Struthio camelus: one gene and its partners. The main gene of each other region encodes a partner of the protein of the gene in region 3 in a complex. Links are inferred from orthologs where the notes say so. Each region holds a gene or a part of one and is shown on either strand. Other genes may lie near its edges.

The links.
Region 1: SNRPE (region 3) and LSM2 share a complex: the UniProt entries of both Homo sapiens proteins name them as parts of the U4/U6-U5 tri-snRNP complex. The link is inferred for Struthio camelus from reciprocal best matches to the Homo sapiens genes SNRPE and LSM2.
Region 2: SNRPE (region 3) and SRRM2 share a complex: the UniProt entries of both Homo sapiens proteins name them as parts of the minor spliceosome. The link is inferred for Struthio camelus from reciprocal best matches to the Homo sapiens genes SNRPE and SRRM2.
Region 4: SNRPE (region 3) and USP39 share a complex: the UniProt entries of both Homo sapiens proteins name them as parts of the U4/U6-U5 tri-snRNP complex. The link is inferred for Struthio camelus from reciprocal best matches to the Homo sapiens genes SNRPE and USP39.

What each region holds. Positions count from the first base shown.
Region 1 is NW_027182645.1:5,160-12,168, reverse strand, and holds LSM2 (U6 snRNA-associated Sm-like protein LSm2), read right to left. Parts: upstream 2,758-7,009; 5' UTR 2,688-2,757; coding exon 2,685-2,687; intron 2,525-2,684; coding exon 2,457-2,524; intron 1,545-2,456; coding exon 1,514-1,544; intron 1,330-1,513; coding exon 1,270-1,329; intron 874-1,269; coding exon 748-873; 3' UTR 506-747; downstream 1-505. UniProt on the Homo sapiens protein: Plays a role in pre-mRNA splicing as component of the U4/U6-U5 tri-snRNP complex that is involved in spliceosome assembly, and as component of the precatalytic spliceosome (spliceosome B complex).
Region 2 is NC_090973.1:761,989-769,412, forward strand, and holds the start of SRRM2 (serine/arginine repetitive matrix protein 2), read left to right. Parts: upstream 1-4,381; 5' UTR 4,382-4,569; intron 4,570-7,424. Other genes in the region: MFAP4 (microfibril-associated glycoprotein 4), read right to left, coding at 706-711. UniProt on the Homo sapiens protein: Required for pre-mRNA splicing as component of the spliceosome. As a component of the minor spliceosome, involved in the splicing of U12-type introns in pre-mRNAs.
Region 3 is NC_090965.1:6,662,334-6,669,579, reverse strand, and holds SNRPE (small nuclear ribonucleoprotein E), read right to left. Parts: upstream 2,886-7,246; 5' UTR 2,766-2,885; coding exon 2,712-2,765; intron 2,541-2,711; coding exon 2,514-2,540; intron 1,957-2,513; coding exon 1,894-1,956; intron 1,658-1,893; coding exon 1,579-1,657; intron 825-1,578; coding exon 769-824; 3' UTR 543-768; downstream 1-542. Other genes in the region: ZC3H11A (zinc finger CCCH domain-containing protein 11A), read right to left, coding at 5,277-5,535, 6,292-6,359, 6,782-6,954. UniProt on the Homo sapiens protein: Plays a role in pre-mRNA splicing as a core component of the spliceosomal U1, U2, U4 and U5 small nuclear ribonucleoproteins (snRNPs), the building blocks of the spliceosome.
Region 4 is NC_090968.1:1,819,757-1,827,670, reverse strand, and holds the start of USP39 (ubiquitin carboxyl-terminal hydrolase 39), read right to left. Parts: upstream 3,005-7,914; 5' UTR 2,989-3,004; coding exon 2,586-2,988; intron 2,191-2,585; coding exon 2,121-2,190; intron 1,997-2,120; coding exon 1,902-1,996; intron 1,557-1,901; coding exon 1,420-1,556; intron 1,001-1,419; coding exon 848-1,000; intron 734-847; coding exon 508-733; intron 357-507; coding exon 279-356; intron 1-278. Other genes in the region: C27H2orf68 (UPF0561 protein C2orf68 homolog), read left to right, coding at 3,326-3,624, 4,028-4,143, 4,830-4,975, 5,485-5,607; VAMP5 (vesicle-associated membrane protein 5), read right to left, coding at 7,131-7,334.

The DNA of each region.
Region 1 (7,009 bases), on a different chromosome or scaffold from region 3:
GCATGCGCCGCCAGCGCCTGCCCCCGCCCCGCGCATGCGCCCGTCCCGCCCCGCGCCCCGGGCTGCTCCCGGATTGGCTGCTGCCGCTGCGCAGGCTCAGTCAGCGCTGTGTGTGCGGGGGGGGGGGGGGAGGAGGGGGGCGGGGCGGGCTCCCGGATCATAGAGCCGTGCGGCTCGGCGGGGCAGAGCGGCCACCGCGGGTTACGGAGCGCGTCCGGCGACCCCTGGCGGCGGGCGAACAGCCGGGTCCTCCGGGGACCCCCAATCCCCCCCCACCCGGGACCCAGGCGTCCGAGACCCCCCCCCCAACGCCTTCCAGGGACCCAGGCGTCCGGGGAACGTTACCCTCCCCCCACCCAGGAGTCCAGGGCCCCCCAACTCCCCACCCGGGACCCCGGCATCCGGGACCCCCCAACCTCCCACCAGGGACCCCGGCATCCGGGACCCCCCAACCCCCCCCCGAGGGACCCCGGCGTCCGGGGACGCAGCCACGACACAGCCAGGTCCGGGTGCCCGTCACCAGCGTTTATTGCGCCCCGCCGCCGCCCGGACGCCGGGGCTCACCCCCCCGGCCCCCGCGGGGCTGGGGCGCAGCGGTGAACCCCGGCGTCCGGGCGAGCAGGGGGGTCTCGGGGAGGGCGTCGGGGTGAGGTAGAGAAACGGGGGGCAGCGGAGTGGGGGCCCCGGCATCCGGGCCGGGGAGGGGGTGACGGGGCCCCGGCGTCCGGGGGGCCCCGGCGTCCGGGCTCACTGCTTCTGCTGCAGGGCCTCCTTGCGGGCGGCGTCCTGGAGCAGCTGCGTGTCGACCTCGTCGGCCGGGAGCTGCACGTAGCGCACGACCGAGCCCCGGATGAAGCAGTTCTTCACCGACAGCTGCGGGGGACCCAGGCGTCCGGGCGTCAGCGGGGCCCCGGGGGACCCCGGCATCGGAGGGCCTGGGGCACCGCGGCCGGCCCGGGGGGGACCCAGGCGTCCAGGGTGGTTGGGCCCAGGTGTCCGGGGGACCCAGGTGTCCGGGAGACCCCGGCATCGGAGGGCCTGGGGCACCGCGGCCGGCCCGGGGGGGACCCAGGCGTCCGGGGGACCCCGGCATCGGAGGGCCTGGGGCCCGGGGGGGACCCAGGCGTCCGGGGGACCCCGGCATCGGAGGGCCTGGGGCACCGCGGCCGGCCCGGGGGGGACCCAGGCGTCCGGGGGACCCCGGCATCGGAGGGTCTGGGGCCCGGGGGGGACCCAGGCGTCCGGGGGACCCAGGCGTCCGGGCCTTACCATGTGCGGGTACTTCTCGGGGTCGGTGACGCTGATGTCCGTCAGTTTGATGTTCAGGTACTGCGGGGACGCGGGGGGGTCACGGCCTGGGAACCCCGAGGGTCCTGCCCCCGACGATCCCCTCCACCCCACAGACCCCCGTGGGCCCAACCTGCCCCCCCGGTCCCGTCCCACCGAGGGATCCAGCCCCCCCCCGGGACCCCCGCAGCCCCCTTCCCCCCCCGTGGCCCCTGGCCCCACTCACCTGGTCCACGGAGTGCAGCGTCCCGCAGATGCTGGGGGGAGAGAGAGTTACCCGGACGCCTGGGCCCCGTGGGGGGGGGGTCCCGGACGCCTGGGCCCCGTGGGGGGGGGGTCCCGGACGCCTGGGCCCCGTGGGGGGGGTCCCGGACGCCCGAGTCCCCGTGGGGGGGGGAGGCTGGACGCCTGGGCCCTGTAGGGGTGGGAGGCCGGACGCCTGGGCCCCGTGGGGGGGGGTTCCCGGACGTCTGGACCCCGTGGGGGGGTTCCCAGACGCCTGGGCCCCGTGGGGGGGGTCCCGGACGCCGGAGTCCCCGTGGGGGTGGGAGGCCGGATGCCGGAGTCCCCGTGGGGGTGGGAGGCCGGACGCCTGGGCCCCCGTGGGGGTGGGTCCCGGACGCCTGGGCCCCGTGGCGGGGGTCCCGGACGCCGGGGTCCCCGTGGGGGGGGGAGGCCGGACGCCTGGGCCCCGTGGGGGGGGGAGGCCGGACGCCTGGGCCCCGTGGCGGGGGTCCCGGACGCCGGGGTCCCCGTGGGGGGGGGAGGCCGGACGTCTGGACCCCGTGGGGGGGTTCCCGGACGCCTGGGCCCCGTGGGGGGGGTCCCGGACGCCGGAGTCCCCGTGGGGGTGGGAGGCCGGACGCCTGGACCCCCGTGGGGGTGGGTCCCGGACGCCTGTGCCCCGTGGGGGGGGTCCCGGACGCCGGAGTCCCCGTGGGGGTGGGAGGCCGGACGCCGGAGCCCCCGTGGGGGTGGGTCCCGGACGCCTGGGCCCCGTGGGGGGGGTCCCGGACGCCGGAGTCCCCGTGGGGGTGGGAGGCCGGACGCCTGGGCCCCCGTGGGGGTGGGTCCCGGACGCCTGGGCCCCGTGGCGGGGGTCCCGGACGCCGGGGTCCCCGTGGGGGTGGGAGGCCGGACGCCTGGGCCCCGTGGGGGGGGGTCCTCACCTGAGGTCGTTCTTGAGCTCCACCACGACGTCTTTGCCCACGAGGGACTTGAAGAAGGAGTAGAAAAGCTGCGGGGACACGGACACGGGGGTCGCGCGGGGCCGCTGCTGCCCGCCGCCGCCCCCGGCCCCGCGGCCCGCTCCGCCCCGCCCCCCCGGGCCCCCCCGGCGCTCCCGGCCCCCCCTCGAGCCCCCCGGGCCCCCCCACGAGCCCCCCGGCCCCGCCGACCATCGCGGCCGCCGCTGCCCCACGCGCCAGGGAACCGGCGAGGCCCCGCCCCCTTCCGCCGCGCGCGGAGCAGCCGCCCTGGCCCCGCCCCCGGGGGCGGACCCGCCGTCCTGGCCCCGCCCCCGAACGGAATCGCTGGTCTGGCCCCGCCCCGGGGGCGGACCCGCCGGCCTGGCCCCGCCCCCGAACGGAATCGCTGGTCTGGCCCCGCCCCCAGGGGCGGAGCCCGCCGCCCTGGCCCCGCCCCCGAACGGAATCGCCGCCCTGGCCCCGCCCCGGGGGCGGACCCGCCGGCCTGGCCCCGCCCCCGAACGGAATCGCTGGTCTGGCCCCGCCCCCGGGGGCGGACCCGCCGCCCTGGCCCCGCCCCCGAACGGAATCGCTGGTCTGGCCCCGCCCCCGGGGGCGCCCGCGGCACCCGGCCAGGCCGCCGCCCGCGGGCCCAGGCGTCGGAGGGGCCCCGGCGTCCGGCCGCGCCCCCGCCCCCGCCCATCGCCGCCCGGGCGGGGCCGCCGCGAGCGACCGGGCGCGGGAGGGGGACACGCGGGACACAGGGGACGTGGGGTGGGGACACGGGGGTCACGGGGACACGGGGGACACGGGGACCTGGGGGACGTGGGGTGGGGACACGGGGGTCACGGGGACATGGGGGTCACGGGGACATGGGGGTCACGGGGACCTGGGGGACGTGGGGTGGGGACACGGGGGTCACAGGGACACGGGGGTCACAGGGACACGGGGGTCACAGGGACATGGGGGACGTGGGGTGGGGACACGGGGGTCACAGGGACATGGGGGTCACGGGGACCTGGGGGACGTGGGGTGGGGACACGGGGGTCACGGGGACACGGGGGTCACAGGGACACGGGGGTCACGGGGACCTGGGGGACGTGGGGTGGGGACACGGGGGTCACAGGGACATGGGGGTCACAGGGACATGGGGGTCACGGGGACCTGGGGGACGTGGGGTGGGGACACGGGGGTCACGGGGACACGGGGGACACAGGGACACGGGGGACGTGGGGTGGGGACACGGGGGTCACGGGGACATGGGGGTCACAGGGACATGGGGGACACGGGGACTTGGGGGACACAGGGGTCACGGGGACTCGGGGGACACGGGGACCTGGGGGACGTGGGGTGGGGACACGGGGGTCACGGGGACACGGGGGTCACGGGGACATGGGGGACACGGGGGTCACGGGGACACGGGGGTCACAGGGACATGGGGGACACGGGGGTCACGGGGACACGGGGGTCACAGGGACACGGGGGTCACGGGGACCTGGGGGACGTGGGGTGGGGACACGGGGGTCACGGGGACACGGGGGTCACAGGGACACGGGGGTCACAGGGACACGGGGGACACGGGGGTCTCGAGGACCCGGGGGACACGGTGTGGGGACACGGGGGACGGGGATGGATCAGCGCTCTGGGACCGAGTCCCACCCCAGATGGGGCCCCACGTCCCTCTGCCCCCTCCCATGTCCCCCGTCCCCGTCCCCCCGTCCCCATGTTCATGTCCCCCCGTCCCCACACCCCCCTGTCCCCCATGTCCCGTGTGTCCCGTGTCCCCCATCCCCACACCCCCGTGTCCCCGTATCCCGTGTCCCGTGTCCCATGTCCCATGTCCCCGTGTGCCATGTCCCATGTGCCGTGTGCTGTGTCCCCGTGTCCCGTGTCCCCGTGTCTCGTGTCCCCGTGTGCCGTGTCCCCGTGTCCCCGTGTCCCCATGTCCCGTGTCCCATGTCCCGTGTCCCATGTCCCGTGTCCCGTGTCCCATGTCCCGTGTCCCATGTCCCGTGTCCCCATGTCCCCATGTCTCGTGTCCCGTGTCCCCGTGTCCCCGTGTCCCATGTCCCGTGTCTCGTGTCCCGTGTCCCGTGTCCCCATGTCCCGTGTCCCCATGTCCCCATGTCTCGTGTCCCATGTCCCGTGTCCCATGTCCCGTGTCCCATGTCCCGTGTCCCCATGTCCCCATGTCTCGTGTCCCGTGTCCCCGTGTCCCCGTGTCCCATGTCCCGTGTCTCGTGTCCCGTGTCCCGTGTCCCCATGTCCCGTGTCCCCATGTCCCCATGTCTCGTGTCCCATGTCCCGTGTCCCATGTCCCGTGTCCCATGTCCCGTGTCCCCATGTCCCCATGTCTCGTGTCCCGTGTCCCCATGTCCCCGTGTCCCATGTCCCGTGTCTCGTGTCCCATGTCCCCGTGTCCCCATGTCCCCATGTCCCGTGTCCCCGTGTCCCGTGTCTCCGTGTCCCGTGTCCCCATGTCCCGTGTCCCCGTGTCCCGTGTCCCCGTGTCCCGTGTCCCGTGTCTCGTGTCCCGTGTCCCGTGTCCCCGTGTCCCGTGTCCCCGTGTCCCCGTGTCCCCGTGTCTCGTGTCCCGTGTCCCCATGTCCCGTGTCCCGTGTCCCCGTGTCCCGTGTCCCCGTGTCCCCGTGTCCCCGTGTCTCGTGTCCCGTGTCCCCGTGTCCCGTGTCCCGTGTCCCCGTGTCCCGTGTCCCCGTGTCCCCGTGTCCCCATGTCCCGTGTCCCATGTCCCGTGTCCCATGTCCCGTGTCCCCATGTCCCCATGTCTCGTGTCCCGTGTCCCCATGTCCCCGTGTCCCATGTCCCGTGTCTCGTGTCCCATGTCCCCGTGTCCCCATGTCCCCATGTCCCGTGTCCCCGTGTCCCGTGTCCCCGTGTCCCGTGTCCCCGTGTCCCGTGTCTCCGTGTCCCGTGTCCCCGTGTCCCGTGTCCCCATGTCCCGTGTCCCCGTGTCCCGTGTCCCGTGTCTCCGTGTCCCGTGTCCCCATGTCCCGTGTCCCCGTGTCCCGTGTCCCCGTGTCCCGTGTCCCGTGTCCCGTGTCCCCGTGTCCCGTGTCCCCGTGTCCCCGTGTCCCCGTGTCTCGTGTCCCGTGTCCCCATGTCCCGTGTCCCGTGTCCCCGTGTCCCGTGTCCCCGTGTCCCCGTGTCCCCGTGTCTCGTGTCCCGTGTCCCCATGTCCCGTGTCCCATGTCCCGTGTCCCCGTGTCCCGTGTCCCCGTGTCCCCGTGTCCCCATGTCCTGTGTCCCATGTCCCGTGTCCCCATGTCCCCATGTCTCGTGTCCCATGTCCCGTGTCCCGTATCCCGTGTCCCCGTGTCCCCATGTCCTGTGTCCCATGTCCCGTGTCCCCATGTCCCCATGTCTCGTGTCCCATGTCCCGTGTCCCCGTGTCCCGTGTCCCCGTGTCCCCGTGTCCCCGTGTCTCGTGTCCCGTGTCCCCATGTCCCGTGTCCCGTGTCCCCGTGTCCCGTGTCGGTGTCGCACCCGCACGCCCACGGCCGGGCCGGACCGGGCGAACCGGCCCCACGGCCCCGTGACGACACGGCCCGGCCCCGCGCCGCCACCGCGATTTAAGGGCGGCTCCGGGGCGCCGCGGCACCGGCGGGACCCTGCGGTGAGCGGGACGGAGGGGGACGGGGACGGGGACGGGGACCCGCGGGACGGGGACGGAGGGGGACGGGGATGGGGACAGGGATGGAGGGGGACGGGGACGGGGATGGGGACGGAGGGGGACGGGGACCCGCGGGACGGGATGGGACGGGGACGGGGACCCACGGGATGGGGACGGGGATGGGGACAGAGGGGGACGGGGACGGGGATGGAGGGGGACGGGGACAGGGATGGGGATGGGGACGGGGACGGGGACGGAGGGGGACGGGGATGGGGACCCGCGGGATGGGATGGGGATGGAGGGGGACGGGGACGGGGACAGGATGGGATGGGACAGACAGGGACGGAGGGGGACAGGATGGGATGGGGATGTGGGACGGGGACAGGATGGGATGGGGATGGAGGGGGACGGGGACGGGGACAGGATGGGATGGGGATGTGGACGGGGGACGGACAAGGATGGGACGGGGACGTGGGCGGGGGGACAGATGGGGGGACCCCGGACATGGGGACACGGGACACGGGATGGGAGGGAGATGGGGATAGGATGGGGATGGGGACAGGGATGGACCCAGACAGGGGACACGGGGGGACAACACGGGACACGGGGACACGGGACATGGGATGGGGACACGGGATCGACCCAGACGGGGAGTCGACACGGGACACGGGGACACGGGACACAGGCAAGGGAGGGGGCCCGGGGCTGCGGTCTGCGTGCGTGTGCAGGCGTGTGCAGGCGTGTGCAGGCGTGTGCAGCTGTGTGCAGCCGTGTGCAGGCGTGTGCAGATGTGCGCAGTGCAGCCGTGTGCAGCCGTGTGCAGGTGTGCGCAGCGCAGGTGTGTGCAGCCGTGTGCAGGTGTGCGCAGTGCAGCCGTGTGCAGCCGTGTGCAGGTGTGCGCAGT
Region 2 (7,424 bases), on a different chromosome or scaffold from region 3:
CGTCCCCATCTTGTCCCTGTCCCCATCCCTGTCCCCATCCCTGTCCCGTCCCCGTCCCCGTCCCCGTCCCCATCTTGTCCCCGTCCCCGTCCCCGTCCCCATCCCCATCTTGTCCCCGTCCCCATCCCCGTCCCCGTCCCCGTCCCCATCCCCGTCCCCGTCCCCATCTTGTCCCTGTCCCCATCCCTGTCCCCATCCCTGTCCCGTCCCCGTCCCCATCTTGTCCCCGTCCCCATCTTGTCCCCGTCCCCGTCCCCGTCCCCGTCCCCATCTTGTCCCCGTCCCCATCCCTGTCCCATCCCCGTCCCCGTCCCGTCCCCGTCCCCGTCCCCGTGCGGGTCCCTGTGCAAGGGGACCTGGCCCGTCCCCGTCCCCATCTTGTCCCCATCCCCGTCCCTGTCCCCGTCCCCATCCCCGTCCCCATCCCCATCTTGTCCCCGTCCCCGTCCCTGTCCCCATCCCTGTCCCATCCCCGTCCCCATGCGGGTCCCCAACTTGTCCCCATCCCCGTCCCCATCCCCGTCCCCATCTTGTCCCCGTCCCCATCCCCGTCCCCGTCCCTGTCCCCATCTTGTCCCCATCCCCGTCCTGTCCCCATCCCCATCCCCGTCCCCGTCCCCGTCCCTGTCCCGTCCCCGTCCCCATCCCCGTCCCGTCCCTGTCCCCGTCCCGTCCCCGTGCGAGGGAGGCCCGGGGCGCCCGTACCTCCATGGCGCTCGCACGGCTCCTCGCCCGCCTCCGCCGGCCCCTCGCCCGGCCCCCCCGGCCCCCCCGGCCCCCCCCTCCTCCTCCTCCTCCTCCTCCTCCGCCGCCGGGACGGGACGGGACGGGACGGGGGGGCACCGGCGCTGGCACGCGGCCGGGGGACGTGGGGCGGCCGAGGGGACGTGCGAGGGGACGTGCAAGGAGATTTGGGGCGTGCGAGGGGACGTGGGGCGTGCGAGGGGACGTGCAAGGAGATGTGGGGCGTGCGAGGGGACGTGGGGCGTGCGAGGGGACGTGCAAGGAGATTTGGGGCGTGCGAGGGGACGTGGGGCGTGCGAGGGGACGTGCAAGGAGATTTGGGGCGTGCGAGGGGACGTGGGGCGTGCGAGGGGACGTGCAAGGAGATTTGGGGCGTGCGAGGGGACATGGGGACGTGTGAGGGGACGTGCAAGGAGATTTGGGGCGTGCGAGGGGACAGGGGACGTGCAAGGGGACAGGGGACGTGTGAGGGGACGTGCAAGGAGATTTGGGGTGTGCGAGGGGACAGGGGACGTGCAAGGGGACAGGGAACGTGTGAGGGGACGTGCAAGGAGATTTGGGGCGTGCGAGGGGACATTTGGGGCATGCGAGGGGACGTGCAAGGGGATGTGGGGTGTGCAAGGGGACAGGTGGCGTGCAAGGGGACGTGCAAGGAGATTTGGGGTGTGCAAGGGGACAGGTGGCGTGCAAGGGGACGTGCAAGGAGATTTGGGGTGTGCAAGGGGACAGGTGGTGTGCAAGGGGACGTGCAAGGGGATTTGGGGCGTGCGAGGGGACAGGGGACGTGCGAGGGGACAAGGGATGTGCGAGGGGACGTGCAAGGGGACGCGGGGCCTGCAAAGAGCCGTGCGAGGGGATAAGGACGTGCGAGGGGACGTGCAAGGAGATTTGGGGCGTGCGAGGGGACACAGGTCGTGCGAGGGGCTGTGGGGCGTGCGAGGGGACACAAGTCGTGCGAGGGGCCGTGCGAGGGGCCGTGGGGCGTGCGAGGGGACACAAGTCGTGCGAGGGGCCGTGCGAGGCGTTGGCCCCGGGCGCGAGCGTGCGAGGGGAAGGGGGGGGAGCGCACGCGCGCGTGCGAGGGGCCGCCGGCTCCGTGCGAGAGAGACACCCCCCCGGCCTGGCACGGACGCCGCTCGGCGCCGCCACAACAACGCGGGGGCGGTGGAGGGGGGGGGGGCGGAGGCGCCGTCTGAGGGCTGCCCGGACGCCTGGGCCCCTTGGCCGGGGGGGGGTGGGGGGAGCCTGGCCGGATGCCGCCGGGCCGGGTTAACCCCCACTTCGCCGTCCGCCTTCGTTAGCTGGTGCCGTTAACGAGGGCGGGGACGGCCTGGGGGGGAAACGGCCTTAACTCTGCCCTTTTGGGGGCAAAAACAGCCTTAACTCGGCCCTTTTGGGGGAAAAACGGCCTTAACTCGGCCCTTTTGGGGGAAAAACGGCCTTAACTCGGCCCTTTTGGGGGCAAAAACGGCCTTAACTCGGCCCTTTTGGGGGGAAAACGGCCTTAACTCGGCCCTTTTTGGGGCAAAAACGGCCTTAACTCGGCCCTTTTGGGGGGAAAACGGCCTTAACTCGGCCCTTTTTGGGGCAAAAACGGCCTTAACTCGGCCCTTTTGGGGGGAAAACGGCCTTAACTCGGCCCTTTTTGGGGCAAAAACGGCCTTAACTCGGCCCTTTTGGGGCAAAAACGGCCTTAACTCGGCCCTTTTGGGGGAAAAACGGCCTTAACTCGGCCCTTTTTGGGGCAAAAACGGCCTTAACTCGGCCCTTTTGGGGGAAAAACGGCCTTAACTCGGCCCTTTTGGGGCAAAAATGGCCTTAACTCGGCCCTTTTGGGGGGAAAACGGCCTTAACTCGGCCCTTTCCTGGGGCAAAAACGGCCTTAACTCGGCCCTTTTGGGGGGAAAACGGCCTTAACTCGGCCCTCTTGGGGGGAAAACGGCCTTAACTCGGCCCTCTTGGGGGCAAAAACGGCCTTAACTCGGCCCTTTTGGGGCAAAAACGGCCTTAACTCGGCCCTTTTGGGGGAAAAATGGCCTTAACTCGGCCCTTTTTTGGGGGAAAAACGGCCTTAACTCGGCCCTTTTTTGGGGGAAAAACGGCCTTAACTCGGCCCTTTTGGGGGGAAAACGGCCTTAACTCGGCCCTTTTGGGGGGAAAACGGCCTTAACTCGGCCCTTTCCTGGGGCAAAAATGGCCTTAACTTGGCCCTTTTGGGGGCAAAAATGGCTTTAACTCGGCCCCTTTTTGGGGCAATAAACATCTTAACTTTGCCCTTTTGGGGGCAAAAAACCCCACCTTAACTCGGCCCTTTTAGGGGCAAAAAAACCACCTTAACTCGGCCCCTTTGGAGGTAAAACCAGCCTTAATTCAGTCCTTTGTTGGGGCAAAAAACACCTTTACTCTGCCCTTTTGGGGGGCAAAACTCGCCTTAACTCTGCCCTTTCCTGGGGCATAATCGGCCTTAACTCGGCCTTTTTAGGGGCAAAAGGCAGCCTTAACTCTGCCTTTTTGGGGGTAAAAACAGCCTTAACTCGGCCCTTTTTTGGGGAGGCAAAAATAGCCTTAACTCTGCCCTTTTTGGGGCAAAAATGGCCTTAACTCGGCCCTTTTGGGGGCAAAAATGGCCTTAACTCAGCCCTTTTTAGGGGCAAAACTGGACTTACATCTACCCTTTCCTCAGGCAAAAATAGCCTTAACTCGGCCCTTTTTGGGGCAAAAACGGCCTTAACTCGGCCCTTTTTTGGGGCAATAAACATCCTAACTTTTCCCTTTTAGGGACAAAAAACCCCACCTTAACTCGGCCCTTTTGGGGGCAAAATCAGCCTTAACTCGGCCCTTTCCTGGGGCAAAACCGGACTTAACTCGGCCGATTTTGGGGGGGGGGGCAAAAACAGCCTTAACTCGGCCCTTTTGGGGGCAAAAAAGGCCCTAAATTGGCCCTTTCCTGGGGCAAAAAATAGGCTTAAATCTGCCCTTGGGGGGGGGGGCAAAACCGGCCTTAACTCGGTCCTTTTGGGGATAAAAACGGCTTTAACGGTCCATCGCCGGCGGGGACGCCTGGGCCCCCCGTTGGGGGGGGGGAGGGGGCTGGGGCCGGCTCGGGGACCCGGACGCCTGGGCCCCCTGGGGGAGAAGCGCTTCTGATTGGCTGGACGAAGCGCCCAGACGCTGGCGAGCGGCCAGCGCTGGGCCCACGTAACGCTGATTGGCTGGGCGCCCGGGAGGGGCGGTGCTGATTGGCTGGCGGCGGGCGCGGCCGGCGCTGATTGGTTGGCGGCGGAGCGAGGACATGGGCGATGCCCATTGGCCGGCGCTCGGCGGCCTCTTCCGCACCTGCGCGGAAGGAGGACGGGGCGCCCCCCCTCCTCCACGGGGAAGGTGGAGGCCACAAGATGGCGGGCGCCGCGAGGCACGCCGGGAGTTGTAGTCCCGCCCCGCCTCCCGCCGCTGGCAGCCGGGCGCCGCGCGGACTCCCGCTCCCGGCGTGCCCCGCGCGCAGGCGGCCAGCCGCCGCCACAAGATGGCGGCGCCGGCGCGCGGGGGCCGCCGGGAGTTGTAGTCCGGCGCCTCGTAACCCACCAATGGGCTCCGCGGGGAGGCGGAACTTCATTTCCCGGCGGGCCGTGCGCGCGCCGAAGTGACGTCAGCGGCGGGGCGGAGGAGGGGGGGGGGGAAGGGAAGAGAAGGGGCCGGAAGGGGAGGCCGCGCGGGTAGGCGGGGGCGCGTGGCGTCGCCTCGCGTCTCTTCGTCCGGGTCTCGCAGCCGCGGCAGCCTCGAGCGCGGGGGAGGGTCCCCGCGCGGCGCGAGCGGAGCCGCCGGCTGGTGAGACGGCGGGGAGGGGGCGAAGGGGAAAGGGAAGCAGATAACGCGGGGACGCGAGCGCGGGTGGGAGTGGGGGGGGCGGGCGCGCGCGTACGTGCGCGTGCGCCGCGGGCGACCGTTGGCCCCGGGGAGGGGGAGGGGCGGGCGCGCGGCGCGGCCGTTGGCCCGCGTGGGGGGGGGTGGGGGAGGGGCGCGGCAAGGGCCGTTCAGGAGCGGCCGTTAGGGGCGGGGGGGGCGTTTTGAGGGGGAAAACAAGGTTTTCATCGAGTTTGGGGTGCGGTTGTGAGGGAAAAGTGGGTGCGTGGAGGGGGATGGGGGAAGTTGTGAGGGGAAATGGGGTGCGGGAGGAGGTTTTTGGGGGGGAAAGTTTTTTTCAAGGAGCTTGGGGGGCAGTTGTGAGGGGAAAGTGGGTGCGTGGAGGGATTTTGGGGGGAAACAAGGTTTTCCTGGGGTTTGGGGTGCGGTTGTGAGGGAAAAGTGTGTGGGTGGAGGGAGATGGCGGAAGTTGTGAGGGGAAATGGGGTGCGGGAGAGGGTTTGGGGGGGGAAAAGTTTTTTGAAGGAGTTTGGGAGGCGGTAGTGAGGGGAAAGTGGGTGCGTGGAGGGATTTGGGGAGAGTTTTAGGGGAAAACAAAGTTTTCCTGGGGTTTGGGGTGCGGTTGTGAGGGAAAAGTGTTTAGGTGGAGGGTTTTGGGGGTAGTTTTAAGGGGAAAAAATTTTTTTCAGAGGTGCTTGGGTGCAGTTGTGAGGGAAAAGTGGGTGCGTGGAGAAGTTGGGGAGAGTTTTGGGGGAAAACAAGGTTTTCAAAGAGGTTTGGGGTGCAGTTGTGAGGAGAAAGTGGGAGCATAGAGGGTTTTGGGGGGCATTTTGAGGGGAAAAAGTTTTTCAGAGGGCTTTGGGGTGCGGCGGCGAGGTGAAAGTAGGTGTGTAGAGGATTTTGGGGAGAGTTTTAAGAGAAAACAAAGTTTTCAGAGGTGCTTGGGGTGCAGTTGTGAGGGGAAAGCAGGTGTGTGGAGAGATTTGGGGTGAGTTTTGAGGGAAAGCAAGGTTTTCAGAGCAATTTGGGATGCAGTTGTGAGGGGAAAGGGGGTGTGTGGAGGAGTTTGGGGGGAATTTTGGGGGAAAACAAGGTTTTCAAAGGGGTTTAGGGTGCAGTTGTGAAGGGAAAAGTGGGTGCGTGGAGAAGTTGAGAGTTTTGAGGGGAAAAAAGTGGTTTGAGGGCTTGGGGTGCAATTGTGACAGGAAAGTAGGGGTGTAGAGGATTTTGGGGAGAGTTTTAAGAGAAAACAAAGTTTTCAGAGGTGCTTGGGGTGCAGTTGTGAGGGGAAAGCGGGTGTGTGGAGGGATTTGGGGGGAGTTTTGAGGGAAAGCAAGGTTTTCCTGCAGTTTGGGGTGCAGTTGTGAGGGGAAAGCGGGTGTGTGGAGGAGTGAGGGAGAGTTTGGAGAGGAAGAAAGTGGTTTGAGGGCTTGGGGTGCAGTTGTGAGGGGAAAGTAAGGGTGTAGAGGGATTTGGGGTGAGTTTTGAGGGAAAACAAGGTTTTCATTGGGGTTTGGGGTGCAGTTGTGAGGGGAAAGTGGGAGCATAGAGAGTTTTGGGGGGAGTTTTGGGGAAAATTTTTCAGAGGGGTTTGGGGTGCGGTTGTGAGGGAAAAGTAATGGTGTAAAGGGATTTGGGGGGAGTTTTAGGGGAAAACAAGGTTTTCATTGGGGTTTGGGGTGCAGTTGTGAGGGGAAAGTGGGAGCATAGAGAGTTTTGGGGGGAGTTTTGGGGAAAATTTTTCAGAGGGGTTTGGGGTGCGGTTGTGAGGGAAAAGTAATGGTGTAAAGGGATTTGGGGGGAGTTTTAGGGGAAAACAAAGTTTTCATCAGGTTTGGGGTGCAGTTGTGAGGGGAAAAGTGGGTGCGTGGAGGGTTTTGGGGGGAGTTTTGGGGAAAATTTTTCAGAGGGGTTTGGGGTGCGGTTGTGAGGGAAAATTGTGTGGGTGGAGGGTTTTGGGAATTTTGGGGGAAAGCAAGGTTTTCAGAGCAATTTGGGGTGCAGTTGTGAGGGAAAAGTAGGTGTGTGGAGAAATTTGGGGAGAGTTTTGAGAGGAAAAAAGGTGGTTTGAGGGTTTGGGGTGCAGTTGTGAGGAGAAAGTGGGTGCGTGGAGGGTTTTGGGGGCGTTTTGAGGGAAAAAAGTTTTTCTAAGGGATTTGGGGTGCAGTTGTGAGGGGAAAGTGGGAGTGTGGAGGGGATGCGGGAGGAGTTTTAGGGGGAAAAAGCTTTTCAGAGTTTTTGGGGTGCAATTGTGAGGGGAAAATGGAGGATTTTGGGGGGGAAACGATTTTTCAGAGTGGTTTGGGGTGCGGTTACAAGGGGAAAAGTAGATGCGTGGAGAAGTTGGTGAGAATTTTGAGGGGAAAACAAGGTTTTCATCGGGTTTGGAGTGTAATTTTGAGGGAAAAGTGTGTGTGTGTAGGGGTTTAGGGGGAAAACGAAGTTTCCAGAGAGGTTTGGAGTGTAATTGTAAGGGAAGGTTGGACGCATGGGGGTGTTGGATAATTTTGAGGGGAAAAAATGTAGTTTGAGGGGTTTGGGGTGCAGTTGTGAGGAAAAAGTGGGTGTGCAGAGGCGTTTGGGGGGAGTTTTGGGGGAAAAAAGCTTTTTCAGAGTGGTTTGGGGTGCAGTTGTGAGGGAAAAATGGGTGTGTGGAGGGGTTTGGGGGCAGTTGAGAGGGGAACGGGGGAGTTTTGGGGGGAAAACCAAAATTTTCAGAGGGGTTTGGGGTGCAGTTGTGAGGGAAAAGTAGGTGCGTGGAGAAATTTGGGGGGAGTTTGGGGGGAAAAAAGCTTTTCAGAGGAGTTTTTGGGGTGCAG
Region 3 (7,246 bases):
CCCTGGCCAAAGAAGCAAGAAATAAAGATTTTATCCAAACTAACTCCATCTGAAGATAAAAGTTACTTTGAAAGCATGAAGAACAGTAAAGTTTGCAAATGTCAGATTATTATACTACAGCCCCAACTCCCTTGCCAACCCGCTAACAAACTTGTAAAGACTGATGCACAAGGAGCACTCCTGTACAAAATCTCAGGAAATTAGGTGTTTTTTCCTCAAGAAATTAGGTGTTGGTTGTTTTGTTTAGAAAATGTCTCAGGAAGCTGTCATAGCGGGCACTGAGGGCTGTAACTGCATATTCTTGTATTCTTGGGGAAAATCTATAACAACTTCACTAGAACCACGCAAGCTCAAGGACTGCACGTGGCTCCAGCATCCTTTCCGAACAAGTCTATCTTGTCAACATAACGCAGATTTGATGTTCCAGAACACAGAGTTGTTTCTCTTATCAGAAACTGCATAGACCCATGGTGAAAAGAACCCCAAACACATTTCTCCCCTTCCTCCACTCATAGAAGGACATGAGACTGAAAACAAGCAGATTTATGTTTACAGTTAACATGAAAAATGTTTATTTGTGAAATACATCTTTTATGGTATCGAAGTTAAAAAAAAATACTCCCACAAAGCTACAAACCATTTTAACCTCAGCATGCAACCCCAGCTACACGTAGCTTCCTATCTACCAGCAGCTCATGTTCCCATGACCTAGCACTTTATCCGCTCTGAAGCACAGTAACTATTGTTCTAAGGGAAGAACAGCAAATTCTAGTTAGAAACACTTTGTAGAAGAGTGATATTGTCCCCTTTTAACATGATCCGACCTGCAACACAGAGAAAGGAAAGGGGGAATTAGAAAGATCCCAGGGTCTGAGAATAACCTCATATTTTCAAATAACATTTCACAAAGGGAAAGATGTTTGCAAGAAGATGCCCACATGATAACTGACGAGTTTTTTTTTCAGACTACGGTCACAGACAGTCTCTTCCTTGCTGGCCACACCACAGGACTACAAGCCTGGCAGCACATGGCCCACGTGCACAGTTCACACTACAGCGTATCAGACACAATCTCCATTCTAGTGCTCTGCGCCCCAGCAGCACTATGCCCCCGGTAAGAGCCTGAACACATCGCTTGTCACAGACCGTTGCTTATCTTCATCAGCAGATGGCAAATACTACATACCACCACTTAGGTGGTTCCTTGCTTTGACTCAGAGGTGGCACAGCACGTGTAAAAATTTCTTAGAGATATCTGTTTTAGATGAAGCTGAAAGGAGTTTTGCCTGAACTCCTCCAGCCCTGGCTGCAGGAAAAAAGAGAGAGATGCAGCACAGACCTTACATTGTTACACACATTTAAAAGCTGAAAATAGGTCTCAGGCACTGACAGATTCTCCTGTATATCCAACAAAACCACCAAATCAACAAAGAGCAGGCACACAGATCTAGCCAGTATCCTTCCACTATACTTCAAACTCAAAACTCTTCACATGTTGTGTATTTTAAAGCGCTGCCATTTGGAAGGCTCAAATAACCACGTTTCAGATCATGCATCGCTTAGGTTATACAGACATACCGAGCTGTTTCCTTGATTTCGTTTTTGAGTGAATCTCCTCTGCGTCGTCCAGAACCAAGTTCATATATTCATCAAAGCCCTAAAAAACAACAACAAAAGCAGTTAGCGAGCTCAGTCTCCTACTCTTAACTTCAGCAACAGTGATACGAACTATCAATAAATATGCTGACACAGGCTAGACAATTAAGACCATTCACTGGAGGCATAAGGAGTGCTCTTTCAATCTGTGCTAGTTTCCCTTGACGAGAAGAAATAGAATCTGTGACTCTGGAGAAACTAACAAAAGAAATAATAAGGGTACCTCCTGATACTCACAATGATGCATCCTTCTATCCGCATGTTCACTTGCTCATAGAGCCAGACCTGGATCCTGGACCTCTGCAAAACGATGGGGGAAGAGAGCAAAATACGAACATAAACACCCCAAGCAATTTTGTTCCTCTCTCCTGTAAACTGAGAGCTCAGCTGGATCCTTACTACCACCAGCCACCGCAGCTCTATGGCTACATCCATTCAAAGGACAAACTCTCAAATATGGTCTCAATCACGTCCTCAGACATCTTTTAAGATGTTTTTCTCAGCGATTTGGAAAAGTCGTGGAAGCACATGTACGAGCCTGTATTTTAAAACAGACACAGAAGAACGGCCCTGCTCGTGTGACGTGATGATCAAACTCCCACTAGGGAGGTAACCTGTGAACGTGTAAAGGAAATCCTCAACTTGGAACCTGCTGTTCTGTACCCGAAAGATAGCGAGCTCTTCAGCTACCAGAAAACGGCTTTAAAAAACGTGTGTGTGGAGGGGGAGGGGGAATTCCACCAGCCAAACCCGCTGCTGTACCCGGCAGCAGCTCCAGGCCCTCGCCAGGGCCGGGACTCCTCTCGCCCCCCCCCACCCCCCCAAACCCCGTCCCGCCCCCCGGCCCCGGTACTCACGTTTTGCAGGTAGCGGAAGATGAGGTTCTGGAGCGCAGCGTTAAGGGCAGCACCACGGCACGGGGCACGGAGCCCGGCAACGACACGCCGTCCCCGCCGCCCGGCCCGCTCCTCCCCGCCGCCCCCCCCCCCGTCACCCCCCCACGGCCGGGAGCGGAGGCCGCCGCGGCCCTGCTCTCTCCGCCGGCGGAAGGATACGATGGGCTGCACCATCACCTTCTGCACCTTCTGGCCCTGCCCGCGGTACGCCATGGCCGCTGCTCCTCCGCCGCCGCCGCCGCCGCCCGGGCCCGCCGCCAGGCACGCGCTCCCGCCACCGCCACAGCCGCCGCCGCCGCCGGAAGCCGCTGGGCACGCCGGGAGAGCGCGCGGCGCTCTGGGACTGCGGGAGGACTTGGCGCGCTGCCCGGCCGCTCTAGGACCGGCGGGAGGACCGCCGCTCGACTTGCTCCGTGCGGGGCCAAAAGGGTAACCAGAGGGCTGGGGCGAGGGGGGAAGCTCAGGGGGGCAGCCCAGCTCTCTGCCCAGGACCAGGGGGCCTCAGGGAATGAGGGAGGAGGGTCCTAGCCTCCACCTTTGGGGGCCTGGGGAACTGGCCCCCTCCAGCCCTGGGGGGCTTAGCAAAGCAGGGAGGTGCAGGGGACTGTCCCCCCACCCCAGCCCAGGGCAGGGGTTGGCTCCAGCACCCTTCAGCCCCTGCTGCTCGGCCCCTCTCACCTCTCTGGGTGCAGGCAGACCCCCCCCCCCCCAAACACCTCCGGCTGCTGCAGACAGACCACGTGTCACCAGCTTTCCTACGCCAGGTTTATTTAAAAACACCTGTAACTGCCATCACGTAGAACAGTTCAACTAATGGTGAACGTGGAGGAGCTGGACTACATTTAATACAATACCTTAAATAGAATACAAATATAAAATGAAAGAATAAAATATTTACAGAAACAATGGCATACACAAAATCCCGTCTCCAGGGACAGAGCCTCTCGGCTCAGAGGCGGCAAAGGCTGACAACAGAAGAGAATATTCTGCTTAAACAACAGCAAGGAGAGAAAAAGCAAGGGGGAAGTCTTCCACACCACGGTCTCTCACGTGTGCTTCTCTCCTCCTCAAAGTCACTTCTGTCTGTGCACAAGCAGCCAGAGCTGGCAGAAGTCGCATCATGAAAAAGTCCTTCAGCAGGATAAAGGGCAGCGCTGTCCTGCCCACTTTGTAGGAAGTTTCCAACTTGGTGACCCTTCTGGAACTAGAACAGCAGTTTCTTCAGAAAGGGCTTTGCTAATTTTGGTTCAAACTTTTCCTCTAGGAACTAAGACATCACAGTGGATTATCAAAGCACACAAGTGTTTTCTTCCAAAGAGAAAAATATTTACAATAAGCTAAACAGCTGATTTTCCTCTGCCAGCAGCAAACGCCTGAGGGCCCCTACAGCTTCACAAATCATAACAGGAAGAGACTAAAGTTCTCCAGAAATTTAAGAAAATAATTAAAAAATATATCTGCTAGGGAAAATGATCACTGGTGGCAGGGTACACAATAGACCCCAGTCTCAGCTATTTTCTGCAGGGTCGCAATTTCAGACTGCGCATTCAGATGGCCAGTAACCTCCCGTCCCGACTCCAATGCGTACTTCTACATGGAGCTCAAGCCTCAAAGGTGCGTTGGGGGTATAGGGGAGATGAAAGGAAGGGAGCCCCAGGACATGCCTAAAAAGGAGAGCACAGTCAGTCCTGCAGCAGTACCAAGTACCAAGATTGCTTGTCTGGGCACCGGCCTCCTGTTGGTTCAATGCCACAAATGACCACCCGATCAGACAGATGCCACATGGCCAACAGGAGTTCAAATAAAGCTGACAGTCAGTGTTTTAATGTTAGCCCTAGCAGCTGTCACTTCCCAGCAGAAGAGCCAGCAACTCAGGGGAGTGATTCCTGGAACCAAGAGGCACTTAAACCAATTCTTCATTTACCAATTTACTGCAGACTATAAGAGGAATCCTGACTTCTCAACCCAGAATCCTATTCACTTCAGCAAAAAGCACCAAAACCCCCAAGCTTTGATACAGTACAATGAAAGGGGGGGGGAGGGTATTCTAGCTGTACTGTATAGCTGCTGCTTTTCACACTGACATTGTGTTATCCCTGATAATCGAGGAGAAGTAAGGCTGGATGGACTGACTCCAACCACCACCCTTGGCAGCATGTTTGGTCCAAAATGCAAGAAGTAATCATTCTGCTCCCTCCCACCCCTTCGTTTTCATTAATTTGCCCTAAAAGAGTAAAGTCAAAATGATAGCATACATAAATAGAAATCAAGAGTTGACATAGTAACTCCAAGCTTTAGCATCAACTGTCCAAGAAATCAGAATGCAAAAACCTTGAAATACACCCAACGTTGTGTTTTGCCAAGGGCAGGGGAGGCAGGGAAAGAAGCTTTAAGTTTAAGCCTTCAGAGCATCACTGACTCAGTAGATCAATTCACAACCACCACAGCTTGCAGATGGGCATCTTTCTGGTCTGAAATAAAGAAGTGCTTTGTCCTCTTAATATTGAAGGTAGCCACCAATAGTAACAGAACGGATGCGCAGGACTTGAACTCTGACCAGCAGGGAAATCTAGGACAACTGAGTGCAGATATTGCCAATTTCTACCAGTTCAACTGTGCTTTAAGACTCATTGCAAAGCCTCAGCTAGAAAAAGGATCATCTCAGGGTATCCAACAAAATATACAGTTTTAATTTTTTTTTTTTGAAACAGAAGAATATGCAGTTCAGCTGTCAATCATCTCAGAAAGTTCAAGAAGGAGGTCATCCTCATCTTTCCCTGGGTCCAGATCAATTTCTGCTTCTAGTTTGCCTCCTGAGATTTCCCAAATAAGCTTCTCAAAGTCATCTTCTACAGATAAAGGTGCTTTCCCAGCCCCTGTGGAGCTTAACCGGCGCGTCTTTACCACTGCTTGTGAAGAAGTTGAGCTTGAGACCTCTGACTGTGCCACAGAATCTGCCTGGCTTACAATATGCAGTTCAGCACTTGGGAGAACAAGAAAGAGAACAATCAGTATGTGATATTCCTTAACTAGAGATGCATTTTCTGCCAACTAGCTCTTAAAACTGCAGCTAATCCCTCCTACACTTTACACAGGGATCATTATTCAATCAAGCTGGGGCTACTTTAGGTTCTCATACACTAATATTAGCAGATACATTTTCAGTTTGAGGATTCGTCTGTGAAAACAGAACAGCTGGAGATCTGGCAAAGACGGTTCAATTTTTGTAGCCAGAGACACTGTGCCACATTTACTAATTTGACTGTTAAGAGGTCAAGGAGTCAACCTCTGCAAATACCTGTTTACTATTTTAGTTATTTTTCCCATGACATGCTCTGCAGACTTTGCTCCCAAATACAGGAAGTTGATCCTCATATACCATCTCTCTCTCCTCTTCCAACAGTCTTTGCCCAGATGTATGTTTGGTTCTAGAGAATGCCATTGCAAAGAAAGAGGTCTTCCTCCATCCCGACCCATCTCCAACTTCATCTCATCTTCATTCAAGTTTTCAGATAACCCAAGAAGACACTATCAACTGGCAGCACTTTAAAGGGAAGCGTCTAAATAACAACTCCTTCCCGCTGCTGGAAAACGCATTCATATGATTTGTCCTAGCAGAGTTCTTCATTTGATTTTGGCATTAATCATCTCAAAACTCTAATTTTTCCACATGTGAAAGAACGTATGTTTCAAGTGAAAGCCACAGTGACCCAGAAAAAGAACAAGTTTTGGTTGTCACCTGTCTTTGGGTTTTTCTCTTTCAGGTATAGTGACCAAGTTATCCTCTGGCAGGGCTGGAACAACAGCCTGGGAAGAAACAAGACAGTGTTTATGACACACAAGTAAATGATTTCTTAGCAGATGCTTCTTCCACACTGCTTCTCCTCTGGCATTGCTGAGCCTTAACCAAAATCCAGAGCCAGGGCTTTCCTGAGAAAAGTTGATATTAACTTCAAGCTTTCCAACGACCTCGTATTTTTTAAGAGCGCAGCATTAATGGAAAACACCACATAGAAATCATACTAGAGTATTATGAAAACACTGTCATGCCTCTAATAAAAAATAAAGAGGTACAACAACCACCCTGCAGATCGTTACTGGACCTAAGAGGGAACAAAAGACATACAGAACACCCGTTTTCCATTTTTCCAACTTTTGTCCAAGAGGAGGGTAAAACTGAAGCATAAATTTTACTAGGGACCAGCAACTGTCTCAGCTAGCGTCCTTACCACAGTTGCTTTTTTAGCTGGAGGCTCCTTCATGTCACCACCACCAGTGCTGCTCAATGGTTTCACAGCTGCCACAGCAGAGGGATGACTCTCAGCTGCCCTACGTTTCAGGGCCTGCTTTGTAGGGGAGGTGGCTTTCCCATCCGATGGCTTCATGCTCGCCTTAGATTTGGCTAGAACAAAAGGAAAAGAGAACTGATATAGTCTTGCTCTGCCACAAGAAAAATCCAGGTTCTCTTAACGTTCCCATAATCCTTCCTCAGTTCATTAAAATATATTTGGCAGCAGAACTGCACTGCTATTTCCCAGACTCTCAGTAACATTTGATATACAGAGAACTGTTTACTCACAATCCATAAAGAGGAGCAAAGAAACTCAACAGCAACACTAAATAATAGACCAGGACAAGGAAAACTCAAACACAGTGCAATCTTAAGTGAAAGTAGTACTTTTTCTAAAGCACAG
Region 4 (7,914 bases), on a different chromosome or scaffold from region 3:
GCTCAGCGCTGGTGTTCACACAGGGCAACGCAGGGCTAGGAGAGAGGCTAAAATCTTCTTTTAGCCAGCAACACCCTACAAGGCTCAGACCTCGCACCCAACTGCAAGCTGCAAAGTTGTCAGCCAGCTCTTTGCTCCCCCACGCGGCCGCTCTCAGGCAAGGATCGAGCAAGAGAGGTGATAAGCATCACAGGGGGACATCAGGGTGGCTGGGGCTGCCCCAAGGTTAAAACCAGCTGCGTGAAAGCAGCCTTCATCCCACAGCATCCTCCACTCACTCTTCTTCTTCTTCTTCGTGCCGCCCAGGGCTGAGTGCAGGGCATTCAGAAACCAAGAGAGAAAGTCGACTCCATCACCTGCAAGCCAGATGATAAATCAGCAGTGAACCCCTAGCAAGAGCACAAAGGAGCCTTGTCCTCCACCCAGCACCGTAGAGGGGTCTAACCCTCCTCGGCCACCTCTGGCACAGGGAAAGTGCTGCCTGTTGGCACAAGGCGCCTGTCTCACCCTGCTTGGTGATCTGGAAGTTTTTTTTGCTGCAGAGCACCACTGCCTGCAGCATCTCGTGGGGGGAGACGTGCGCCTTGAAGTTGCGCGGGTTCCACAGCTTCCGCATGAGCTCCCCAAAGCGCTGCACCAGCAGGAACATGATGTCCCCGGGCGGGCGCTTGATGTTTTTGTAGTTGTCTTCCTCCAAGAAGTAATTCCTCAGTGGCGGGACGTTGGAGAGGGCCTGCGCGCGCACAGGCGGTGATCAGCTGGGACGCACTCCCCGCTAGCCCCAGGGGGAAGTGGGTTTCCTCCACCTCCCCCCAGGGCGAGCTCAAAGGCCCTCGCGCGCCCGTACCTGGAGCACAGCGTTGGCGTAGTCGTTGGCCTTGATGTTGTTGAGCCCCACGATGCCCGGGAGGTACGTGGTGCCATCGTATGCCCGCGACAGCTTGGCCTGTTTGTCCAGGTTGGTGATCTGCTGCTTGGTGAAGGTGGGTTTCAGCACGTACTGAGAGAGAAGAGGGGAAACAGCGTCAGGCCAGGAAGCCAAAGCCAACCGGCCCCCCTCGCAGGCACTGCTGCAGTTCCCAGCGGCACCGTGCTCTGAAACCCTCCCAGGACGGAGATCTTGCCACCCTCCTGCCTCTTCCATGTGTTCTACCAGAACCCCTCTATCGCAAAGACTTAAGAAACTTTCATCCCTTTCACACAACCCTGCTGCCTTTCACGCGAGCAGGAACCGAGCAGAGACTCTCAGACACCTCGGTGCAGAGCTCCCCACCACCACTGGGCCTTGCAAAGCCTGACAGCCCAAGGGACATGAACCTAAATCCTCAGGTTTCAGTGCAGCTCAGAGGAGCAAACCACTTGCAGGGTCACAGCAGCCCTCCCCAGTCCCCCAGCCCCTCGCTGTGAAGGTCCCCGCACCGTGATGTCCTCCAGCGAGGAGTCGATGATCTCGTAGTTGTCAGGGAGGCAGTAAAACTTGAGGGTGTGCAGGTTGAGGAAAACATGGTGGCTGAACTGCACGCTGTGGATGTAGGCGTGAGACTTCAGCCCTCGGCCTGCCGAGGCAGAGGAAAGCATCAGGGACACAGGCCGCGAACAAGGGAACGCAAGACCATGCAGCCCAGGCGTCCGAGGGCTCAAACCTCAACTGTGAAGGAGCCAGCGAGGCCACGGGGAGTGTGGGATCCCACAAGCTCCAGAGCAGAGAGGGATGGATAAATGCATGTTTGGCCCCAAGCCGCAAAGGGAATCGCTCAAGGAACCTCAAGCGCGCGGGGACAGGTGAGAAACAACTCCCAGTCTGACTCGTGGGCTGCCTCCCCCTCATGCCAACGGACCCCAGGCAGCCTCCCACCAGCATGAGCCCCTCAGTGACCCCAGCCCCTGAGGCGAGAACTCACCCTGGAAGTACTTCCCACACACGAGGCAGGCGTAGACGTTGATGTGCGACAGCGAGATGGAGCAGAGCTTCTCAAAATCGAAATCCAGGACGCTCCTAAAGCAGGAAAAGGAGAAAGCCGCGGCGTATGGGGCAGCCCCCAAGGGAGCCATGCCCTGGGGTCGCCGCTCCGCTTGCCCTCCCAGTGCCCGTGGCTGGCCCACGGATCCTCCCCGCTCACTTGTTGATGGTGTCGAGGTAGGGGCAGTGCCGGCTTCGCTGGTCCTCGGGGTCGAAGCGGCCATAGCGCACTGTAGCGGGGAGCACGCAGCCCCATTAGTACCAGGCCCCCCGCCGTTCACGGCCTTCCTCCCGCGTAGCCCCGCTCCTCCAGGATCGTCCAGCCTCCTCCCCAGGTGGTGTCCCCATGCAGGGACACCAAAAACACCCCTGTCCCCCTCAGAGTGACATAAAACAACCCTCGGCCCCAGCAGGACCCCCCTGCGCACCCCCAGATCGGTCCCTCGGGTCACTCAGCATCACCCTCGGTCGTCCCCTCTGTGCACCCCCACGTCAGCCCCCGGTTTCCCCCGTGCACCCCCCACATCAGCCCCCGGCCCCCCCACCCCGTGCACCCCCAGACCTCCCCCAGCACCACCCCGGCAGCACCCCGGTTCCGCCCAGGCCCGGTGCCCCCGGTGCCCACCTGTGGGCTCGGGCTCAGGCTCGGAGTCACCGTCGGGCTCGCGCTCGCGCTTGATGCGCACCGGGCCGCCGCTGCCGCCGCCCGTGCCGGTGCCGGGGCCGCCGGTGCCGCCGCCCGTGCCGGTGCCGGGCTCGCGCTTGATGCGCGCGGGGTCCACCGGGAGGGGGAGGGGCTCTGCCACCTCCCGCCGGTCCCGGTCGCGGTCCCGATCCCGATCCCGGTCCCGGTCCCGGTCCCGCCCCCGCTCCGCCTCCCGCCGCCCCCGCGACCGCTCCGCCTCGCCCTCGCGGCGGCTCCGCGACGAGCCCCGCGACGACGACGACGACGAACCGCCGCCGCCGCCCGAGCCCCGCGGCGCCGCCCGCGCCTCCCGCTCCCGCTCCCGCTTGCCGCGGCTCGACATCCCGCCGCCCACTGCGCAGGCGCGGCGGCGGCGGCACTGCGCAGGCGCGGCGGCGGCACTGCGCAGGCGCCTCCCCAGGCCGGCGCGGGGGCACCGAGCCGTGAGTGAGAACTGCGCGTGCGCAAGAGCACGGACCGTGCGCTCCACCGCCCCCTATCTTCACCGCCGTTTCAGGCACTACGCATGCGCCGCTCCAATCCGGAAGGGTAGCGGCCGCACCCCCGCTAGCGCGCATGAGCGGGGGATCCGCCCGGAGCCGGGGAGGGGGGGGAGGCGGGGAACCTCCTTAGCGCTTGCGCAGTGCGCCGGCTCCCGCCCGCTGGCGGCGCTGCGGCGCATGCCCACCGGCGCCGGTGCGGCCGGCGGGGCTTTTAAAGAGACAGCGTCCCTTTTCCAACCGGGTGCGGTGTGCAGCGCCGTGCACCCTCGGGGGTCCGGCTCCGGGGACAGTCCCGGCCGCTCCCCGCCACCGCCGGTGCCCGCGGGGGGTAGGCTGCAGGGGGCGGCGGCGGCGGCGGGCCGGTCCCGGGAGCGGCGGCCGATGGAGGCGGGCGCGGGCTGGCGTTGCCGGCCGGGCGGGCGGCTCGACATGAGCCACGGCTTCGTGCGCCACATCCGCCGCAACCAGATCGCCAGGTACCGGCACCGGGGCCGCCTCGCGGCCCCCCGCCCGCCCCCCGGACCTCACCGGGGCCCCCTCAGGGCCCCATGACGCCCCAAAGCCCCCCCCCGGGACCCCAAGGCACCCCCGGGACCCCAGTGGAGCCCCGGGACCCCTCCTGCCCCTCCAGCGCCCCTGTCTCCCCCCCCCGGGACCCCAAAACATCTCCGGGATCCCCCCGGGACGCCCCCCTCCTCCCCCCACCGGAGCCCAGTGCATCACCGGGACACCCCCCCCCCGGGTCCCCCATGTCCTCCCGACCCCCCGTCTCCTCCCGCTCACCTCCCCCGGGCCCCCTTTGCCGGCGGCGCGGTGCCGGTGCCGGGGGCGGCAGCGCTGAGCGGGTCGGTGCCGGTACCGGTGCCGGTGCCGGTGCAGGGACGCCTACGAGCGGGCGGTGCGGCAGGCCCGGGGGCGGGCACGGAAGCGCCACACACCGGCCCCACCGCGGCCCCGCCGACCCGACCAGCAGGTCTACCGGCCCCGCGGCCCCGGTGAGCCCCGGCGGTGGGAGGGGGGGCGGGGGGGGGACGCTGGGGAGGGGAGCAGCCGAGGGAGGGGGCTGAGACGTGGGGGGGCACCCCGGGGTGGGCCAGGGCATGGTGGGCACCCGAAGGGGAGGGATGGGGATGGGGGGGCACCCTGGGATGCAGTGGGGCATGGGGGGCACCCTGGGGTGGGCCATGGTACAGGGAGCACTCAGGGGAGGGATGGGGATGGGGGGGCACCCCGGGGTGGGCTGGGGCGTGGGGGCACCCAAGGGGGAGGCTAAGACATGGGGGGGCACCCTAAGGTGGGCTAGGGCATAGGGGGTACCCTGGGATGCAGTGGGGCATGGGGGGCACCCTGGGGTGGGCCATGGTACAGGGAGCACCCAAGGGAGGGATGGGGATGGGGGACACCTAAGGGAGGGATGGGGTCTTGGGGGGCACCCAGAAGAGGTTTGGGTCACAAAGGGTGCCCTGGGGTGAGCCAGGACATGAGGGGCACCCTGGGGTGTCCCAGGATGTGGGGGGCACCCAAGGTGTGCTAGGGCATGGGGAGCACCCTAGGGTAGGTTGGGGAGTGAGGGGCACCCAAAGGAGGGCTGGGGGGGGGGGCTGGTGCCTGGGGGCACCCTAGGGTGGGCTGGGGCATGAAGGATACTCGGAGCACCCAGTGCCCCCGCGACACCGCTCAGGGTGCTGGGTGCCAGCAGCGGGGGCAGAGCGGAGCCCAGCCGAGAGCAGCGCGGGTGCCACCGCCGCGGACGCCCGCGGGCCCCGGCTCTTCTGCCTCGAGTACGAGGGGGACGACGGGAGCGTCACTGCTGTGATCGTGCACCAGGTGGGCACCCCAGGGACCCAGGCGTCCGGGTACCCCCACCTCTAACCACAGCACTGCGCTACCGCGTTTCAAGGGCGTCCCACGGTGCGCTGGGGGGAAGCTGGGTCCCCTCCTGCCTGGGCAATGCTGTGAGTGCCCCTGGGGCGCAGGGGGGCTGTGGGTGCTGGGTGCAGGTGGGTGCTGTGGGCTGCTGTGGGTGCTAGTTGCCCCAGGTGTAGGTGGGTGCCTTTAGGTTTAAGGGGTGGACAGTGGGTTTTAGGTGCTCCGGGAGGCAGTGGGTGCCTTTGGGGGGGGGGTACTCTGGGGTACAGGCAGGTGCTGTGGGGGATGGCAAGTGCCCCAGCACCCAGATGGGTGCTATGGGGGTGGCGGGTGCCCCTGGGTGCAGACAGGTGCTGTGGAGTGCGCAGCAAGTGCAGCGGGTGCCCCAGAGCATGGGGGGCAGCAGGAAACCTGGGGGGATGGCGGGCACCCACGGGTGCCACTGACAGGGGGTGGGGGCGCCACAGGCGGACAGCGCGGAGGAGGTGACGCAGCGGGTGTGCGCCCGGAGCCCGCTGGAGCCCGCCCTGCGCCGGGCCCTGTGCCAGCGGGTGCAGGACGAGCTCAGCAAGCGCCGTGGGACCCGGTGATGGGGACACCTTCCTCCGGCTCTGCCCCACCACCCAGCAGTGCCAGCGGCAGGGGGGACACTGCCAGCCCGGAGGGGACAGCGTCAGCCGGTGCCGGTCGGCATTTGATGCCAATAAAGGTGCTGCGAGTCCCCGGCGTGCGGCTCTCATTGGGGACCCTGGGGATACTGAGACATGGGGTGGGGGCACCAGGAGCCTGGCAGGGACCCCGGGGCCGTGCTGGTGGGTGCCGAGGTGCTGCATGCGTGGGTGCTGGCGTGGCCGCACCGGGGCCGCTCTCCAGGGGTCTGCAGCGTGGCCTCACCCGTTGCCATCCACCCCAGGGACGTCACCCGACATCTCCCGTCTTGTCCCCTCCCAGGGCTCTGGAGTGGCATGGCCAGGGCCATTGGGTCCCCAGTGTCCCCATCCTTTCCCTGGGGTCCCCTCCCAGGTGTGGGGCTGCGGCACCTACAGCAGTGGGACAGACTCTGGGATCTGTAGTGGTTTTGGTTTTTTAATCACGGTAGCGGCTATAAAGAGACTCACAGTGGAGACGGTCCTGGCTCCGGTGCCCACCTGGGCAGGGGGTGCCAGGCTGTGCCACAGGCACCTGGGCGATGCCACAGGGTGCCAGGGCGATTCCTGGGTGACACTTGCCCAGGGATGCCGTGCCCCAGGAGGGGTCCAGGCTGTGCCCTGTACCCGGGCGATGCCAGGCCACCTTGGGGTGCAGGGAAGTGGTACCAGGCTGCAGCACCCTGGGGTCCTGCCATGCCCCACCCTGGGCAGGGGGATGGGACTGGAGATGGGTGACATTCCCAGGGTGGGGACCGCACTGCCGGATGCCTGGGTCCTTGACCGTCCCCATTGGGGCACCCAAGGCGGAGCTGGCAGAGGGCGATTTCTCCCTGCCCAAGCAGTGCCCCCAGGTCAGGGTCACCCCTTCCTGCAGTGCTTTGTTATTGTAGGGCCTCCCCAAAGCAGGGCCTGGTTATTGTCAGCTCTCTCTAGAGTGGGTTCTAGGGCCTTGTTATTGTAGGGTCTCCTTGGAGCAGGTCCCACTGGCTTGGTATGGTAGTGTCTCCCCGAAGCAGGCTTGGGCTTTGTTATTGTAGGGTCTTCCTAGAGTGGGTCCTGCTGGTCTGTCATTGTAGGGTCTTCTTGGAGCAGGACCCAGTGGTTTTTTATTGCAGGGTCTCCCCAAAGTGGGCCCAGTAGCTTGTTATTGTAGGGTCTCCCTGGAGTGGGTTCTGCTGGCTTGTTATTGTAGGGTCTCCCTGGAGTGGGTCCTGGTGAGCTGTTATTGTAGGGTCTCCTTGAAGCAGATCCCACTGGCTTGTTATTGTAGGGTCTCCCTGGAGTGGGTCCTGGTGAGCTGTTATTGTAGGGCCTCCCCAAAGTAGGTCCCCATGGTTTGTTACTGGGTCCCCCCAAAGCAGATCCTGGTGGCTTGTTATTGTAGAATCTCCCTGAAGCAGGTCCCAGGTTGCGAGTTATTGTAGGGTCTCCAGAGGCACTGGCGGGGGGGCAGGCCGGGGGGCTCAGTCCCCACCAGGGGCGGCGCGGGTGACGGTGGGGGGCACAGGGGGGGTGGCGCGGGTGCCACCTAGCCACAGTGCCAGCACCACGATGAGGATGATGATGGCAAGGCCAACAGCCAGCCCCACCAGCACCAGGCACCAGCGCCGTTGCCCAGCCCGCTGCTTCTGTGCCACCGCCCGGCTCGTCCGCGTGAACGTCTGGCCCTGGTGGCAAACAGCACATGGGTGCCGGGATGGGCACCGCCACACTGGGCCACCCCAAGGTGCCCATGTGAGGCTTGATGTCTTCATGGTGCCTACCCAGCAAGGTGGCCCAGGGCCACATGTCTCTATGGTGCCCACCCAGCATGGTGTCCAGGGTCATATGGCCCTGTGATGCCCATCCAGGGCTCTGTGTCTCCATGGTGTCCACCCAGCACAGTACCCAGGCCCATATATCTCTGTGGTGGCCATCCAGGACTCTCTGTCCCCACCATGCCCATCCAGCACAGTGCCTGTGGCCATATGTCCCCATGGTGGCCATCCAGGGCTCCACATCCCCACTGTACCCACCCAGCATGGTGCCCCAGGCCATATGTCCCCATGGTGGCCATCCAGGGCTCTATGTCCCCAATGTGCCCCCCCAGCATGGTGCCCAGAGCCGTATGTCCCCATGGTGGGTGTCCAGGGCTCTACGTCCCCACCGTGCCCACCCAGCACAATGCCCAGAGCCATACATCCCCATGGTGACCATCCAGGCCTCGACAATCCCATTGTGCCCACCCAGCATGGTGCCCAGGGCCAC